Linked DNA regions of Solanum lycopersicum. The main gene of each other region encodes a partner of the protein of the gene in region 2 in a complex. Links are inferred from orthologs where the notes say so. Each region holds a gene or a part of one and is shown on either strand. Other genes may lie near its edges.

What was found.
Region 1: the proteins of NADH dehydrogenase [ubiquinone] flavoprotein 1, mitochondrial (region 2) and NADH dehydrogenase [ubiquinone] iron-sulfur protein 4, mitochondrial are in contact, whole or in part, in a cryo-EM structure (PDB 8BED), measured with the Arabidopsis thaliana proteins. The link is inferred for Solanum lycopersicum from reciprocal best matches to the Arabidopsis thaliana genes CI51 and FRO1. Residues at the interface, in NP_196470.1 of Arabidopsis thaliana: Gly131, Arg132, Pro133, Glu237, Arg247, Leu248, Pro250, Pro251, Tyr259, Gly260, Cys261; in NP_201560.1 of Arabidopsis thaliana: Tyr140, Ser141, Phe144, Trp146.

Annotation. Positions count from the first base shown.
Region 1 is NC_090801.1:69,719,169-69,722,907, forward strand, and holds the start of NADH dehydrogenase [ubiquinone] iron-sulfur protein 4, mitochondrial, read right to left. Parts: upstream 2,824-3,739; 5' UTR 2,609-2,823; coding exon 2,444-2,608; intron 1,537-2,443; coding exon 1,448-1,536; intron 1-1,447.
Region 2 is NC_090801.1:65,985,159-65,988,916, forward strand, and holds the start of NADH dehydrogenase [ubiquinone] flavoprotein 1, mitochondrial, read left to right. Parts: upstream 1-1,292; 5' UTR 1,293-1,438; coding exon 1,439-1,441; intron 1,442-2,528; coding exon 2,529-3,758. UniProt on the Arabidopsis thaliana protein: Core subunit of the mitochondrial membrane respiratory chain NADH dehydrogenase (Complex I) that is believed to belong to the minimal assembly required for catalysis. Complex I functions in the transfer of electrons from NADH to the respiratory chain.

The DNA of each region.
Region 1 (3,739 bases), about 3.7 Mb from region 2:
AAAAGCGAGAGATGCTAAAATGAGTCTGGAAACACAAGTAGGTTGTCATTTCAGCAACTAATCTTACATAATATCCACGTGACACCACTTACAAGAATATAAATCTGTCCTAAAAAATGATGGCTCACACAGTAAAGATGTCGGGTAGTAAGTTGGATCGGAAAAAAATTGTTCATTTAGGTAGCACCACGTAGATATTATCTAAGGGTTGAGTTGCTGACGTGGTTGTACTTGTATAGAAATTTCATACAATTTAGCAACCTACTTGTGTTTTCTATGACCAGATTCTAGCATTATTATTGTTTTTTATTTAATGTGATATTTGCGCATAGTTAAGAGTCATTTTCCATTACAAAAATTAATTTTATAGCTTTGGTGCACTAAGATTTTTAGTTGGATGACCATCCATGAAATTACCCAGGATAAAATAGTTTGATTCGCATAGAGGAGAGTACAAAACTTTTACCATGGCCATAAATTATGAGTGCTTCTCTCTCAGCATCTTCTGATATGAATATACATTTTTTTCATCAACAATCAGCAATTTTTCTACTTAAGTAAACTCGAAGAAACACCGTCTGGCTAAGCTGAATTCAATGAATGGGGTTCATTCTCTATTGAAGTTTAAAGTTAATCAATAATTGATCTTTACAGCATAGGAAGAACTCTGGACTCTTATTAGTAATTTCTTTTTATGAACCCGAGAGTTTTGGCGTTGTCAAAACCAATATACCTTCCTAATTACCTCCCTCCACGACCAAAAAAACCCCATAATCAGATGCACCAACATTGTATTAAATGATACTCCCCAGTCCCATTTTATGTGGAACCCTTTCCACCCTTTACTTTTAAGTCCGTCCCAAAAAGAGTGTCACCTTACTATAATTGGAAACAATTTAATTTAAAATTCCCCTTTTACCTTAATGAAATGATTTAAGGTCACACAAATGTTCTAAGATTGTTTTAGACCACAAATTTCAAAAGTCCTTTTTTTCTTAAGCACCATGCCAAGTCAAACGGTGACATATGAAATGGTTCAAAGGGAGTAGATAAAAAGGAAGACACCAATGTCCAGATCTCTATAATTATATGAACCACTAGAGGAAAATAAGTTCACAATCTCTTTAACCTTCACAAACCAAACAACCTGTTGTGGTCCAAATTTCATAGTCAAACATTGTATTTTGAGACCTAGGCACAATTAAAATTATAGTCTTTTAACGGGAAAAAAAACTTATAATCTATACTTGTCAAAACTTTCTTTAAGGTTTTCTCTTTGTTTCTTCTTGTTTAGTACAGGACAGAAGGATAAGGTAGATGAGTTTGTATATTGTAATTACTGTACAAAGTCCTGCAGGATTTTGTGCTGGCTAAAAATAGACTAATATTGGTGAACCATGCTAACTTCTTAATAATGAAAAGAAAAGGAAGATATCCAAAAACATACTTCTGGGTAGACATGAAATTGATTTTCCATCTGCCAACTTTTCCAGAGCCTTGTTGACTAGCAGTCCGAGCAGGAGAGAAAATCACAACCTGGTGAGCAAACATTATTAACTACCAAAAGGGGCATGGTGCATAAGATCTAATCCACTAACTGAGAGCAATTTTCCACATGAAGAGACAGAAAATATATGTACTAAAAGAAAGATTAGGATCATTTGGCACATTTAAACACTTCAAGAAATTTGAGAATATAAGAGTTGAAGAAATTGAACAAGCCAATACATTTGTATATAACCAAAATTGAAAGAGAGGGCAAACCAACCATGCACATGAAAGGAAAAATATGGGATAAATAAAATAATAGACACGAACATAGAGAGAAATAAATGTGAATTATCTCTACTTTTTTGGTGTAAACAGCTTCGTATAGATGATATAGATCAGATTATAGATTTGATAAGAAATCTATATAACTAAATTTGTGCAGAAATGGATGAAAAACCTCCGTGGGGAAAAAGTTTGCATTAATCCAAGCTGGGGTCTGATATTAAGGCTTATCAATTCAAGCTCTAGAAGGTCCAAGTTCAACTTAATACTTGCCAAGCAGAAACTACTCCCTACCATGAAAACTTACAACTTTTTACTTGTCACAAGTGTCTAAGCAGCTATGGTCTCTTCTATATCATTGAATAGGAGCGAGGAAGACAAAAGGAGGGCTAAAAAGGAATAGTCTTCGGATTAGAGGTAACATAAATTCACAAAGGCAAAAATGAAAAGCAATCAATCAACTATATCAATTTCAAATCAATTGATTCTAACTATATGGATCCTCCATATCCATTTCCCAAATCATTTGCTAACCCTAAATAGCGGAACCCATGGATCTGCTATAGAAGCCCTAATAAATTGGTAACCTACAATGAAGTTTTTCATACACCTAAATGACCTGACAAAATAATAGATATTAGCGAAGAGACATAAAGAAAAGAAATTATACCCTTCTACGAAGATGTTCATCTGGAATACCAGAGACCATACCGATCTCTCCGGGCTTGATTTCGACCAACGCTTCTGACGCAAATTGTCTACATAGCGGCGTCACAGAAGATCGCCAGGCGGCTTGAGAGGAATGCGTCGCTAGTCGTCGGAGAGAGCTAGCCATTTGCCTGAGATGATAGAATCCGGCCGAAGTGATGAAGCCAGATATTACTTTGCCCTTTGTATTTTTATTTTCACGGTGATGTGGCGTATGTCTCGTATAAATTCACGCATACATTACTTTGCTAACATACGAGTATTTTGTACTCTGATGTATTTAGGCGAATAATTATATAAAAACTATAGTGCTCAGGTGAGATACAAAAAATATTTAATTTTGATCCTAATTTCAAGTATAGATTTAATTTAAAAGAAAAATTTGGGAAGGGGAAATCAAAATCTGTGGGTATCAAAAGAATATAAAAAATTAAATCCAATGAATTTTTATCACTTTTTTAATAATTGTAGACTTTTATTTTAGTGTATAATTGTCTCAAATAATTCAAATGATCTTTTCAATTAAAAAAAGTGATAATTTTTCGAATCTAATAACCTCACATGTATGTAAATATATTTTATATGTTACTAATATGTTAAATTTAATATATAAATATAACTTACGTCTTAGATACAGAAAACATGCAAGCATTTCTATTAAATTTTTAAGATCAAACACCACGATAACAACATTTTATATTCTTGACATCTGATGAAGAAGTGAAGTATTTCTTTAAAAATATACCTGAAAAATATTTAAAAACAATATATTTTGAGGTGATACTTGAAAAATAAGAAAAAAAACGAAAATTAATTAAATCATACCGATATTGAAAAGAAACTAATATGATTGAGATGACAATTTAATCGTAAAAATAAAATTAAGATGATATAATTTCTTAAAAAATAACCAACTGAACCGTCCTATTAACTCACATATATGAACTAATTTAATTATTGAGACAAAAACTTCACTTAATTTGTTCACTTATTTGAATAATTGAAATTAAATTTTAAATAACAGCGATCTTTTACTTATGAGCTATGACCATAAAAATAATGTTATATTATCCATACTATCGCAAAGCACAAAATTCCAAGGCAGCTTAATAGATCGATTTTTTATCCTTTATAAGAGTGTAGTGTGTTAAGATAAAAATTATAATTAAAAGTTTATTATTGTATTTTTTATTTAATATAAAATTATAAGATGGGAAAATTAAAATTTGTATAAATATAAAATATATAAAATTATCAC
Region 2 (3,758 bases):
TAAAAAATAAGAGAGAAGGAGGGAAAAACGTCACAAAAGGAAGAGAGGGAAAAAAAGTTTGGGCTATTTTTTTTTTGAAATAGGACCCAGTTAACTACTTGTCAAAAAATAAATGAAGGATCATACAAATTTTGTCTACCACATAACACTTGTGCCTCATTCGTCATAAAATTTTTAGTATATTCTCAAATGGTACTAGTGAAACAGAGGCATGGGTAAAGCATATAATTGAGCTGCCATCATTGTCAACAACAACATCTCTATTTACAACAATCATAAAGGAGAGATTGTATGGATTCCAGATAGTAATTAACACTTTGCACATGTTCTTATATGACAATGGATTGAAACAATGGGGAAAAGTTTGAGATACAAAGGAATTATGAACAACAATGTATCACGGATCCGTATAGTGTTTTTCTATATCTTGTAGAAAGTATTAGGCCAAGAGTTAATCTAGTATTGAACCACCTACGAGAAATATGGTGGACTCATTTATCCTTAATCAAGACGTGGTGGATTTAGGTAACGTTGATACATAGTCATTTTTTTTACGGAGCACTTTATTTTTAACGTAAAATTTTTCCGCACGAATTTAAATTTAGTTGGACTTCAATGTGAATATAAACACCGGTGAAAAATTAAAAATAAAATTAGTATCGAACAAGGATTGATTCTAAGCACATGTATGGTTTAATTTTATGTCTCTTGTTTAAAATACTACGTTATCATTACTCTTCTATTAACTTATTTTTCAATTCTACTACTATTTGTTGTTTTCTCTGCATTGGTCTTAGTTTTTTTTATATGTTTTAGCTTAGTCGAGTTTTTAGCAAAAACAACATCTTACTTTTTTACGATAATAATAAATTATTTACACACCACTCTTACGATTATTATTATCGCATTTAGAACAATTTATTATCAAATGTTCTAACACACGCGTGTGTATTGAGGATTCATTAGCACTAATGGCTTTGTTTTTAGATGATATTTAAATTTTGTCTATGTACACATCCAAACCTAACATTAACCAAAAGAGTAATTTTTCAAGCTATATCTGTTAACTTTTAAAATAGGGAAAGAATATAATATTTGGGTATATATTGGACATTAATGGCAGACGATAAATGTATATCACTGGTATACATGATTTTTGCATATTTCGATCATATTGGTACATTAATGGCAGACGATAAATCTTTTAACTTTGGTGTCACTAAGGCCCATTACGACATTTCCTGAACACTAAGGCCCATCATGATATTTCATACCCATCAAGCCCACTACGTGGACCGTCATGATTCACAAATCGCAACAGCTTCATTTTCCCTTATTTTTTTCTTATTTTTATGAGAAAGAGAGCTTCAATCTCACCCTAATCTGCTGGAGAATCAGCTGAATTTCGTCGATTAATCACATTTCTGCTTCAATATTCATGGTAAGTCCCTATCTTCGATCTGTAATTTTTTTGCGCCACCAAAATACAAATGAAAATTTGTTGTGAGAATACGCCTTACGTGCATTTTGATGCGTCCTCGGTTTGTTCGTTGATTACTCTTTTGGTACTCTTCATAGGATATTTATTGCAAATTTATATTTTCAGAGATGTGGCTTAATTTTAACTGATTCGAATGGCCATGGTATTCCTAGAAAGATGAATGATGAGGAACCCTAAATTTTATTTGGCTAGCACATGTGGGTATTGCTTTTGATCTTTTTTGATTCCTGGATAAGTTATTCAGGAGAGGTGTTGCTTCATTGATCTGCTTTCGTTGAAAAAAAATGGGTTATTTTTTTAGATTGGAGTATGTTATAAGTTATGCAAGTTCATATTTTGAACCTAACCTCCTTATCAGAACTCTTTAATTCATAGACTCCGTAGCTTCTTTTCTTTGTTTGTGTGTGTTTTCAACTTTGTAATTTAGAATGAGTTATATGTATATAGATTAATAAGGAGTTAGTGTAGTCTTCCGCTGTACTTTGAATTAAGCTCTTTCAAGGTAAGCTTCTTTTTTCAGGGAAAGAAAACCTTCATACTCTATTACTTCGGAAGGCTTATGTATTTATTTTAGAGAGGTAGATGTAAATTAAATTAGTACCTAAACTTTGAAAACAGTTAGTTAGAGATGTTTTGCGTAAGTGTTTCCTCCCCTCCCCCACCCAGACATCAAAAGGAGGGTATTCTTTTTGTTTCTTCCCCTCTTGTGCAATTCCCTTAGCATCAGGTATTAACAATCTATTTTGGGAATAATTTTTTTGGAAATGTTACTGTTACTCTCTCGATCTTATGTTTCTATTCAATCAACTCTGCTTCGGTGAGTTTAGCAAAGTGTACCCCATCTAAAGCCTGGAAAAGAGTTGTGTTGTGGTTGGTCTCCTAGAAAAAGAGAGTATTTTGCAATCATGATGCATAGACCCATCGCTTAGTGCAGTATAATACAATCTTTTACCTTTGTAATTATGCTTGCTCAGTCTCGCCTCTTATGAGGCTAAAATTACTGATGTGTGGCATGTTCTTCTAACAGGCACCTATAAAGGGCCTTCTTTCTCTACAACGAACTGCATTAGCTCAGCGTTCTAGTGAAAGATGGGGCCAATATGGTAGGTTATTTAGCACTCAGGCTGCATCAACTGCTAGCACTCCCCAACCTACACCCCCACCCCCACCTCCCGAGAGGACTCACTTTGGTGGCCTTAAAGATGAGGATCGTATTTTCACAAATCTCTACGGATTGCATGACCCTTACCTCAAAGGTGCCATGAAGCGAGGAGATTGGTACAGAACAAAAGATCTTGTCATCAAGGGTTCTGACTGGATCGTGAATGAAATGAAGAAATCTGGTCTTCGAGGACGTGGTGGTGCTGGTTTTCCATCTGGTCTCAAATGGTCCTTCATGCCAAAGACAACAGATGGCCGTCCTTCATATCTTGTCGTCAATGCTGATGAAAGTGAACCTGGAACCTGTAAAGACAGGGAAATCATGCGGCATGACCCACACAAGTTGTTGGAAGGCTGTCTGATTGCAGGAGTGGGGATGAGAGCTAGAGCTGCTTATATTTATATCAGGGGAGAGTATGTGAATGAAAGGTTGAGCCTTCAGAAGGCTAGACAAGAAGCCTATGAAGCTGGATTGTTGGGGAAAAATGCTTGTGGATCTGGTTATGATTTTGACGTATATATTCATTTTGGTGCTGGTGCCTATATTTGTGGTGAAGAGACAGCTCTTCTGGAGAGCCTTGAGGGCAAACAAGGCAAACCAAGATTGAAGCCTCCATTTCCAGCTAATGCAGGACTATATGGATGTCCAACAACTGTTACAAATGTTGAAACAGTAGCTGTTTCACCAACCATCTTAAGGCGTGGTCCAGAGTGGTTTGCTAGTTTTGGCCGGAAGAATAATGCCGGGACAAAGCTGTTTTGCATCTCAGGCCATGTTAACAAGCCCTGTACAGTTGAAGAGGAAATGAGTATTTCATTGAAGGAGCTGCTAGAGAGGCACTGTGGTGGTGTGCGTGGAGGATGGGACAATTTGCTTGCTGTTATACCAGGAGGTTCATCTGTTCCACTGCTTCCCAAGAACATATGTGAGGATGTACTTATGGATTTTGATGCACTCAAAGCTGTGCAGTCAGGGTTGGGAACTGCTGCTGTAATTGTCATGGACAAGTCAACTGATGTTGTAGATGCAATTGCAAGGCTCTCGTACTTCTACAAGCACGAGAGTTGTGGTCAATGTACACCATGTAGGGAAGGC